Xenopus tropicalis: one gene and its partners. The protein of the gene in region 1 binds, or shares a complex with, the protein of each later gene. Links are inferred from orthologs where the notes say so. Each region holds a gene or a part of one and is shown in the gene's direction. Other genes may lie near its edges.

The links.
Region 2: the proteins of keap1 (region 1) and ptma are in contact, whole or in part, in a crystal structure (PDB 2Z32), measured with the Mus musculus proteins. The link is inferred for Xenopus tropicalis from reciprocal best matches to the Homo sapiens genes KEAP1 and PTMA. Residues at the interface, in NP_001103775.1 of Mus musculus: Tyr334, Ser363, Arg380, Asn382, Arg415, Phe478, Arg483, Ser508, Gly509, Tyr525, Gln530, Ser555, Ala556, Tyr572, Gly574, Phe577, Ser602; in NP_032998.1 of Mus musculus: Gln40, Asn41, Glu42, Glu43, Asn44, Gly45, Glu46, Gln47.
Region 3: the proteins of keap1 (region 1) and nfe2l2 are in contact, whole or in part, in a crystal structure (PDB 3WN7), measured with the Mus musculus proteins. The link is inferred for Xenopus tropicalis from reciprocal best matches to the Homo sapiens genes KEAP1 and NFE2L2. Residues at the interface, in NP_001103775.1 of Mus musculus: Tyr334, Ser363, Gly364, Arg380, Asn382, Pro384, Asp385, Gly386, Asn387, Asn414, Arg415, Ser431, Gly433, Cys434, His436, Ile461, Phe478, Gly480, Arg483, Ser508, Gly509, Tyr525, Gln530, Ser555, Ala556, Tyr572, Phe577, Ser602, Gly603; in NP_035032.1 of Mus musculus: Leu19, Ile22, Leu23, Arg25, Gln26, Asp27, Ile28, Asp29, Leu30, Gly31, Val32, Val36, Phe37, Phe39.

Annotation. Positions count from the first base shown.
Region 1 is NC_030679.2:138,051,030-138,054,680, reverse strand, and holds part of keap1 (kelch-like ECH-associated protein 1), read left to right. Parts: intron 1-1,624; 5' UTR 1,625-2,009; coding exon 2,010-2,552; intron 2,553-3,651. UniProt on the Homo sapiens protein: Substrate-specific adapter of a BCR (BTB-CUL3-RBX1) E3 ubiquitin ligase complex that regulates the response to oxidative stress by targeting NFE2L2/NRF2 for ubiquitination.
Region 2 is NC_030681.2:101,064,892-101,068,626, reverse strand, and holds the start of ptma (prothymosin alpha), read left to right. Parts: upstream 1-925; 5' UTR 926-1,034; coding exon 1,035-1,079; intron 1,080-3,735.
Region 3 is NC_030685.2:65,686,935-65,690,585, reverse strand, and holds part of nfe2l2 (nuclear factor erythroid 2-related factor 2), read left to right. Parts: intron 1-3,351; coding exon 3,352-3,624; intron 3,625-3,651.

The DNA of each region.
Region 1 (3,651 bases):
TTGCAAACGTAATTGCCGTGGAAAGCCGCATTTGCTGTTGGTTATGATTTTTAAACAATGTTGCAAAAGGCAGTCTCTTCCAGAATAGACAGGTCTGCCGGCTGGCTTTGTGCTACATTGTTTCAGAAGTCAGAACCAGCAGGGCAGACAATGGCCAATTCTCAGCAACTTTTCGACCGGTCTTCATTTTTTTATCTTTTAAAGTTTTTGAATTATTTGCATTCATTTACTGCCTTTGCTCGGCTTTCAACGGGGGTCACTGACCCCGGCAGCCAAAAGACTATTACTCTGCGAGGCTACAGTTTTATTGTTGTTACTTTTATTTAACTTATTGTTATTTTTACTTATTTGTTCTGTTCAGCTCCACTACTCTTCATATAGTGGTCGCTCTCTCAAACCTCTCCCTGGTTACTAAGGTGAAATGGACTCTAGCAACCAGATTGCAGCTGAAATGTGAAACTGGAGAGCTTTGGAACAAAAAGTTAAGTAACAAACAATAAAAAATGAAGACCAATTGGAAATTGTCTCGGAATATCACTCTCGACATCATACTAAACCTTTGAGGTAGTTTTTTAGTATGATGTAGAGAGTGATATTTCGAGACAATTTCCAATTGGTCTTCATTTTTTATTATTTAACTTTTTGTTTCAAAGCTCTCCAGTTTCACGTTTCAGCAGCTATCTGGTTGCTAGAGTCCATTTCACCTTAGTAACCAGGGAGAAGATTGAGAGAGTGACCAATATACGAATAGTAGTGAAGCTGAACAGAAACATAAGTTATTTAACTTTTTGTTCAGCAGTTCTCTAGTTTATAGTTTTAGCAGCTATCTGGTTGCTAGGGTGCCAATTTCCTTAGCAACCAGGGATTGGTTTGAATGAGAGACTGATACATGAGTAGGAGAAGGCCTGAATAGAAAAAAAAGTTATCAAAAGTAACAATAACAATAACATTTTAGCCTCACAGAGCAATAGTTTTTGGCTGCCGGGGTCTCTAGTCTCACATTTCAGCAGCTATCTGGTTGCTAGAGTCCATTTCACCTTAGTAACCAGGGAGAGGTTTGAGAGAGTGACCAATATATGAATAGTAGTGAAGCTGAACAGAAAAATAAGTTTTTTAACTTTTTGTCCAGCAGCTCTCTAGTTTATAGTTTTAGCAGCTATTTGGTTGCTAGGGTCCAAATTACCTTAGCAACCAGGGAGTGGTTTGAATTAGAGACTGATACATGAGTAGGAGAGGGCCTGAAAAGAAAAAAAAGTTATCAAAAGTAACAATAACAGTAAAATTGTAGCCTCACAGAGCAATAGTTTTTGGCTGCCGGAGTCAGTGACCCCCATTTGAAAGTTGGAAAGAAGACAGAAGAAGAAGGCAAATAATGCAAAAACTATATAGGCAGTTTATCTTTGGTGCGACTAGCATGGGAACTGCTGCTGCTGAACGTAGGAGCATAAAGGGTGCTCTATTAACCCAAAATGGCTGCATTAATGCAATATTTACACGCCGCGCAGTGTGCCAGGTAAACATGGGATGTGTGTAAAGCAGTCATAACTCTATGGCGTCACTCGTTCTGGCACATTCCCGGCTAATCACAAGCAGCTTTCAACTTCTCTTCCTTCTTCCTCTCCAGGTATCAAACAGAAAATGAACTAGAAGGGCTCCTATTTGATCCCACCGACTCACCGTAGCCCGGGTTTGCTCCAGCAACATGCTCAACCCCTAGGCAGAGACTTTTATTTTTCATTTGCTAACCCCCCCCGTTAACCAAACGACCGGGATGGATTAAATCACTCCTGACTAGAGAATCTGGACAAACTGATATGGATTAAGTATCCGTAATATTTTTTTTTTTTCTGCGTGAAATAATTTATTGGTCTTTTTGACACATTTTTTTTGCACAGTTAATTTATTTTTTTAAAATATTTTTTTTAAAGAAAAATGGCAATAGGTTTGTTTTGAAGAAATCTTTTTGCCCCCTAATGATGCCCCGTTAGGCGTTTCCGACGGCAGCAGGAATGTACGCGACAGAGTGCCAGGCGGAAGTGACGCCCTCGCACAGCAATGGCAACCGGCAGTTTCAGTATAGCCTGGCCGACCACACCAACCAGGCCTTCCAGATTATGAACGAGCTCCGGCTGGGGCAGCAACTGTGCGACGTCAAGCTGAAGGTCAAGTACAACGACGTCCAGGATGAGTTTGTGGCCCACAAGATTGTGCTGGCGTCCAGCAGCCCCGTGTTCCGCGCCATGTTTACCAATGGCCTCCGGGAGTGCGGCATGGAGACCGTTACCATAGAGGGGGTTCACCCTAAAGTCATGCAGCGGCTTTTGGAGTTTGCCTACACAGCTAGCATTTCCGTGGGAGAGAAGTGCGTCATCCACGTCATGAACGGCGCCGTCATGTACCAGATGGACAGCGTGGTCAAGGCCTGCTGCGACTTTCTCATCCAGCAGCTTGACCCGAGTAACGCCATCGGCATAGCCACCTTTGCGGAGCAGATCGGATGCCACGAGTTGCACCAGAAGGCGCGGGAATATATATACATGCAATTCGGGGAGGTGAGTCAAATAACTGTATCAGGGCTTTAAAGGGGAGGTACACCTTTAAGTTAACTTTTAGTATGTAAGCAACTTTTCAATTGGTCTTCATTATTTATTTTTTTTGTGCCCTGTTTACCTGGCACGTGGCGTGTAAATATTGCATTAATGCTGCCATTTTGGCTTGATAGAACACCCTTTAGGCTCCTAAGTTCAGCAGCAGCAGTTCCGATGCTAGTCGCACCAAAGATGAGCTGCCTGTATCGTTTTTGAATTATTTGTCTTATTCCTCTGTCTCTTTCCAAAAAAAAAAAGGGGGCTCACTGACCCCGGCAGCCCAAAAACATTGCTCTGTGAAGCTACAGTTTTATTGTTATTACTTTTTATAGCTTATTGTTCAATTCAGGCTGTCCCCTATTCATATATCAGTGTCTTATTGAAACCACTCCTTGGTTGCTAAGGTAATTTGGACCCTAGCAACCGAATAGCTGCTGAAACTATAAACTAGAGAGCTGCTGAACAAAAAGTTAACAAGTAATAAAAAAATGAAGACCAATTGCAAATTGTCTCAGAGTAAAAGTTAACTCAAAGGTGAGCAGCCCCTTTAACATTTGGCAGATCCACGTAGCGCTGTGGTTTCCGTTCTGTGCTTTCCCCAATGCTTATTCATGGTGTTGTGCAAGGCGCTGAGCTGTTTGACCTTGAGACGCGAATGATAGGACTGAGGTCTGAGAACATAGCGTGTTAATCATCTTCCACAGAGACGAAAAACAAAATGTTAGTGGGTACAGGTGGGGCAAGTGGGTCTCACTGTTTTTGTAGCAATGAATGCTGAGAATTGGGGTGCTCTTGGGTGCAATGGAGTGCTGTGTGAAGTAAAAAAAAAGTTTGTCTGGGACACCCTAGAATCTTGTCAGGCAAGTACTGTGGCTGTGGGATAGCAGGTATAGTAGGGAGAGATGGTGCCTATAGTAGCAGTGGGGGGATAATAGCCTCTGGGAAGGGACTGGGGCTGTGGGATAGCAGGTATAGTAGGGAGAGATGGTGCCTATAGTAGCAGTGGGGGGATAATAGCCTCTGGGAAGGGACTGGGGCTGTGGGATAGCAGGTATAGTAGGGA
Region 2 (3,735 bases), on another chromosome or scaffold:
ACAAGCCTGTGTAGCAAATAATGTTGCTGTATGCGAAGGCAGGGGCGAGCGGAGAGGCAGATCAGTATGCAACCTGCGATATTAATAGCGTAACGCTTTGTCTGGCTGATTTATGTGGTCCGTACAACGCAAAGGTGTTCCTATAGGATACATTTGGCGCCAAGATGGGAATAGGCTATCGCTGAATGCTATGGGTGGCCAACGTGCGGCGCTCTTGCTTCAAATACGCTACAGCTCCTGCGACCTTTGCCGTCGCCCCCCCCCCCATTGTGTATCCCCAGCAGTTGAAGACTATTGGGCGCTATAATTGAATAGCTATGGAGCTGAGGCTGATTTTCTGACATTAGGTGAGTGTGGGATCGCTCGGTTCTCACCTGTACAAATAACTCCTGATGTAACTTTATTGAATTCACGTTGGCTCAGCAGGAGTACTATACATGACAAGCTAGTTGCCTATAGCGACTTATGTCGGCATGTTTATATCGCTTGCTGGGCAGAGGGTATGTAAATGCCCTAGGGGCATGTTTCACAATGTAAAAGGGGCAGTCCTTATCGAAAGGGTACCCCACCTCCTTGCTTTGCACACGGTACTAAACCCCCCCTCCCTCCAAGGGGTGGGGGAAAACGCTCCTCTTCATTTGCATTGGTTTGCCAATAGCGGCGATAGAGGAGCCTTTTGCGCATGCGGCGATTTCCACAGCGGTGGCGTTCAGGCCACAGCTGGTACTGCAGCTAAACCATGGAAAAGAAAACAAGTCACCCTCCCCCATTGTTTGAGCAATGACCAATCAAACGGTATATTTTTTTTTCTCCTTTCTTTGGAGGTCTGGCCAATTGAAAGGCGAGAAGCCGGTCTTACGCCCCTCCCACTGATCTATATTAAAAGGACTGGCGCCGCGTGAGCTCTTCACTGGCAGTCATTATAAGAAATAAAAAGCCATCTTTGCATTGTTCCTGTAACACTCGCTTCCAGCTCCCGGGACCTGCACAATTACTTTGGTTTTTTGTATATAGCTTATTTTATTATATTAAGAATGTCCGACACAGCAGTGGACGCCAGCGTTGAGAAAACCCCCAAGGTAAGAGAGAGTTTGAGCGCTGAGAGGGCATTTTGTGGGCACAGTTGGTGTTATGAGAGCGGCTCAGCCCGCGATGTCCCTCACACTGGCTCTATGAATGTCACTGTGTTGGCGGGGGAGTAGTGTCTGTCAGTGGGAATATCTGAGCGCGGATCTCCATCTATTGTATGGCAGGGACCGGCAGTAGTTAGTAGTGGCAATGAAATCGGTTAATGGTTAGACAGTGCGGTACCTACAGATAACGAGTTAAAAGGCGCTGCGTGTGTGGCGTCCTGCTGGGATTAGCCATGGTCCTGATACAGAGTGGCACCCTGGGCGCATACGTGCCATCTCCAGCCTTTCCCCGGGCTTCATTGCTCAACTAGCTGCTAGTTCAGACTGCTATCTGTAAGTTTCTAGGTACTTGGCAGCGTTACTTCATAGCCCCGGAGCCTCTTCACTGGTTAGTCCCGGAGATTTTGCTCCAATGCATTAAAGGACCTCCGTGAGTGTGAGAAACGAGCGGGAGGTTGGAGGAGGTGGATAAGATGGGGCAGTGCGATTGAAGCTGCTAGTGTGACCCTTCTGCCGATCTCCTATTGTCCTGGCTTGTTATAGAAGCGCCCAGTAGAAGGCTGCGACCCTATCTGACACTTGTACCCTGCATGATGTCCCCTTGCCCCTAGCGCTGCCATAGGCTACGGTTATTGGTCCCAGTCGATTCGCTTTCTAGCGAGCGCCCTGTCTCTGTATATGAGAGGCTGGCGGGCACTGGGCGGGCTGCCAAGCTTCCCTTCAGCCCTGGGTATTTGGGGTGGAATTTGCTAGCTGGATGGTGCCACTGTTCTTCCCGCCTGTACCATGTAAGCGAGTGAGGCTCGGCTACCCAAGCGGGGAGGATTTGCTACGGGGGCGGCGGTCTGGATGTGGCGCTCAGTACCAGCCCAGGTGCCGTTTGGCTGAAACAATGTATGGCAGGTGTAATGCTCGCTGAGCGACAGATCGGGGAATCGCGCTGTACAACAGGGCATCCCAACTTTGTCAGTGTAGGAGGCCGATTATGCTTTTATCTACTGCTACGTGATGTATGTGGGGCACGCTTTTCATGTAACCGAGCTCTACAGAGCATCTGGGCCAACTGGGGACCGGGTGTGTTTCATGAAGGGTCCGGCCCGCGGGCCCAATGCTTTACACCCCCATTCTAAAGGAGCGGACCCATTTGGAGGTCATTACCACGGGCTTCCAGCGAGATGTGCGGGCTAATCTCCGCCATAAATAGCCTTGGCTGATGCCGAGCCCCACCTGCGCCCAGCTCTCGCCAAAACTCTGCTTCCGCCGCTCTGAGGGTTCCGAGAGCCCAGTGTGGCTCCCACGTGTAGGAGAGCTCCCTTTCCCTGTGTTATGGGCAGGTGAGGGCTGGGCTCATTGCAGGTAGGACTGGCCCTTTACTTTTATGTACTGCAAACAATTCGTCTTCCAGTGTGGCGCTGCTATGTCCCGGCTCCCTGTGTGCCCCTGACAGATTAGGGGGGGGGGGGGGTTACACAGCTGGATCATGCCGGGCTGGGAGATGGGTCACTTTGCTTGTATTGAGCCCGCTGTTCTCCACCACGTCCGGCGTCACAAGTCCTCTGGGGAGTCATTTATCCTACAGAGACTAACGCAGGGGGACAGATGGTAACTGGATTAGACTTTAAAGGCAGAGGCTTTAATTAGGAGGTGGGGGAGGGTTAATTACAGACCTTGCTAAACCATTACAGGCTACCTGCTTTATTGCGCAGCCTTCGCAGCTTCCTATCTAGCATACGAGCTGTCGTTTTATAAACCCCTTGCTAAAGCAAATATAATCTCTGGAAATATCTGACGGCTGGTTGTAATATACCGATTGAATTATGGAGTCTTCGTCTCCTCCATCGTCCGTCCCCCCTCGTTCTCTTGCTTGTCACCGCCCCCCCTGCATACATTTGTGCGCGTCACTACGTGTTGCCTTTTGGGTGTCGTAGTCTTTCTCTTCCCTCCCCTAGCGGGCGTGTCGCAGTAGGGAATTTTGAAAGAGAATAACCAGAGAACTACAAGTTCCAGGTGACTTTGCGCCAAATGGGGGCTGGAAATGTTAGTGTCGGGCCAATGCGCTGCTCCGGATGCCCTGATATGGACATGGGTTGGTCTTTGTACCGTAATGTAACCAATTGCTTTACCTAGCTGGTGGCGCCAATTTTAAAACTACGTATGGTGCGTGCAGGTACAGGGGAAGTCTTTTGTTCGTTCAGATGCCTGTTTATTCCCCATATTAACGCCAGGGGGATTCTCCATTACATGTAGAAGGTACAATTAAAAATAAGTGTGCTGTATCAAATATAGGTAGAATAAACACCATATAGTTACATTGCTAAGGATCCCAATTATTTTGCTGTGAATGAAATACAGAAAATACCTTAATTTATCATATTTTATCATTTACTACAAACCCAATTTATAGGCAGCCAGAGACAATGTACCGCTGCTGTTTCACATGCAGTATACTTTTTTTTTTTTAATAATTACTAAAACAAGTCTTAATCGATTTATCAAGTTTATACCATAAATCAGAAGTTTTTTTGCTCTTCATAAGATGTCTGTTGTGCTTAATGCTTGTCTCTGCCTGTTACTTCTCTGTACAGCTGGTTCTCTTTGTGTT
Region 3 (3,651 bases), on another chromosome or scaffold:
TCCTCCAATAAAGTGTCAATAAAGTATCGCAATAAAGAAGCTTTTCCTGTATAAAGACATTGATGATTAATGCTGGTTGATAAATAATTAACAGTCCAGATAGGCAACTTTATTCTGCTCATGAAATGTGTAATACGTGGGCAGCCTGCTATGTCGGTTACTCTTGTCAGTTTTATTTCTACATATAACTACAATTGAAAGCAGCACTAGTGTCCCCTTCTGCACTGCCAGTTCTGTCTCTAGAAACGTGTAAAAAAAAAAAAAGTCAGCTTTGTATGCTCCTTCATAGGTTTGTTAGTAGGCAGTCTTGTGCTACATTGTTTTAAAAGTCAAAACCACCAGAGCAGAGAATAGCAAGGTACAAACAGATACTGCTTTTAAGAGGTAAGACACACAGAGATACTAGTAGCAGCTACTTGTCACGCCTACTAAAATAGACAATGCTGATCATTTACTGATAATTGTCTCTACGTGTGTTTTAGCAGAGGCAATGGTATGGTATGGCAGGGTATTTCTGGTATTTAGTAGAAGTGAAAATATAGCTGCTACTAAGTAGCTCTGTGTGTCTTCCCCAAGCACACAGTTATTTTTCCAAATAGTTTTAAAACCATTGAGCATTTAGAATAATGGTACAATGGAAAGTTGCTTATAATTCTTCATTTCATTAGGCAAATTGTGATTTTTTGGGGGTTTAAATTCTCTTTAAACAAAACCTGCGTAGGTCCATGAATATAATGTCTATGAAAACAATGGATAATACTAACATATGGACTTTAACGTTCTGATCATTGGTTCAGCCATACCCATCTTGTCTGTTAAACTCTTGCTATGTGCTAAAGTGCTTGTAATCTGTATCTTTTCATTTGTATTTACCAGCCTATCTTGTTACAGGAGGAATAAACTAGATTGAAAGAGCCAGTGTTAGTATTGGGTTTCCAACCAACCCTCCTATTATATTCCTCCACTTGCTTTTGTATTTGGCCCATGATGTAATCTCTCCCAAGTCACATCAATGCATATGGTTTACACCTTTCTTCATTGAAAACTATATCCTATAAACTGTTGGGTTAACAATAATAACGCATTTTGACTGCCGCAGTGCCCAGGAGAAAAACAAAGTGCTTGGTATGGATGTGTCACCACTACCAATGTATTCCTAACATGCCATGGCACACAAACCACTGCTCTACAACCCTCATCTGTGAGGATTTCCCATACTTGTTGCCTGAGCACAGTGGTGGTCAAAATGCCCTGTATGCTGGTCATGTGCTGCGAAATTGCTAGACCAGGTATTTACCTGCTGTGGCCGCCAACTCACAAGGTCAGTTACGGATTGTTAGGCTCCCAGGCTAGTGATTACATCATAATGGAGACCGATTGAAAGAAAACTGTTAACATGCTGATTTTCTAGATAAATTGCTAAATTGATAGATAATCTGGCTGATTTTCAGAGAGGTCAGGAAGGATATTAGGAGGCCATTAAGCTGCCAATTAGGTCTAGAGGAGCATAGTTTTGAGCTTTTAATGACTCATGCACTACTTTACTTGTGTCCACTTCAGAAAACTGAGCACAAGCAGCTGCTGAACATGCTTGTGTGGTGGAATCCACAGTAGAAGAGAGTGGAGGTCATCAAGTGGTTGGTTACTGGCCAATAATAAATGAGCCCTACTAGTGTATAAATGTGCATTGTTTTTCTGGGTAGGTTGCTGCCTAGATGTCGTATTGTGAGTTTGGTAATGAGCTTCTTGCAACCAAAATGTAGTCCAAATTCTCTCTCTGTGGTATTGACAGAAGGTTTCAGCACTGCTGTATTTGGTAATGGCCAATTGATGGTGCCCAGAGCTCGACACAATGGGGGGACGATGGCCAAAGGTGACAGCTTGTTGGTTCATGTAGAGACACATTAGGGCTACACGGTTTCAGCACACTTTTAGGATATTGATTATAGATCAATTCTTTTCCAGGGGTGCAAATTAAAAGGGAGAGATAACACTGGTACATGCCTGTTGGACGACATAATGCAGTAGCATCAGGGCTGTAATCTTAAAGCAGTTATCAATACTTTAGGAGCTGTGGCTCCTCTTCAGTTTCTCATCTGTTGATGCACAGTGCCCTGGCAGATATGCATTGGCAGATGACATTTTCAAACCTGCCTGCTTGATGAACAGACTGATATCCAGTAGTGATGGGCGAAATGCATTTCACCATTGGCGGATTGTTTCGCAAAACGGATGAAAACATTCGCCGGGGAAAAATTTGCAGAGCGTCCAAAAATTGTCGCCTGCGACAAAAGTATAGCCGCGGGCGACAATAGAATAGCCGCGGTGACAATTTTTTTTTTACGTGCAACATTTCCGCCGTTTTGCAAATTTTTCGGCGAAGCGAAATGGGACAGATTCGCCTACATTTACCTAAAATAGGCTGTGAAGATATTTCTAAGCGAAAATTGGATATTTAAAACATAGGAAAAATCATGGTTGTTCCCTAATATTTAGATATAGACCAGTGTTTTTCACAGGTTCAAGCATCCCTTGTCTCCTTACTAAGATACAGATTTATGAACACATTGTCATCCTGCCATGGTTCCTAAGTCTAAAATATTAATTTGGTTCCTCAGGCTGGGCTTCCAGGAAAATGTAGAACAAGAAACAATTTACTTCCAAATCTTTTTTTTTTTTTTTTAAGCCCCATTTCCTCCACTCACTGCCTCAGGCCCCCTAACTGGTTTCATCCCCATGGTTTAGAACTAGTGCTACCATCAAAGCATGTCTGTGTCTATACTTAAACCTTTTAGATGTTCAGTTAGATTCCTGCATACTTCTAGGCAAACCCTATAGCAGTATTGTTTTTATCCATTTTATATCTTTTACTTTTCTAGATGTGGATTCCTGAATTAAGCCCCATTAGTAGAGAATTAGTACGTTTTTTTACATCCAGGGTTGTCAGTTAATTATATACCTTGTCAACTGTATGCTTATTAATGCCAAAGTCCTGGAAACATTAGCTTTTAGGGGGTTGATGGCATTTGGAGAGCAACAACTTTGACAATTCCCGACCAAGGCATTTCCAAAGAATTCAACATTGCTCCATCATTACTAGCATATAGCTGGAGATTAGGTCTGCTCCCATGGGTGTGAATGTTCATGTGAACCTGGCAGTGTCACAACTTCCCATGAGAAGGTAATGTTCACCTGCCTCTTGAAAGATTACCACATCAGCTTAATCCAAGCCCAGTTGAAGATGTAACCTACCACTATCAGTCGTGTTGGATTTCATAGCTGCTTCATGGGGTTGAACAATTATCCAAAAAGTATCAGGACATTAAACCCCATGTATTTGACTTCTTCTAGGATATGGATCTGATTGATATTCTTTGGAAGCAAGACATTGACCTCGGTGTTAGCCGTGAGGTTTTCGACTATAACCAAAGACAGAAGGAAAATGAATTGGAGAAACAGAAGAAGCTTGAAAAGGAGCGGCAAGAGCAGCTGCAGAAGGAACGGGAAAAAGCACTCTACGCCCAACTGCAATTAGATGAGGAGACAGGGGAATTCATCCCAATCCAACAGGCTGCACCTATTGAGACTGCAGCAGTCACGCAGGAGCTTGCCAGTTCCATTGAGGTAATTAGCCCAGATCTTGTTTATGAA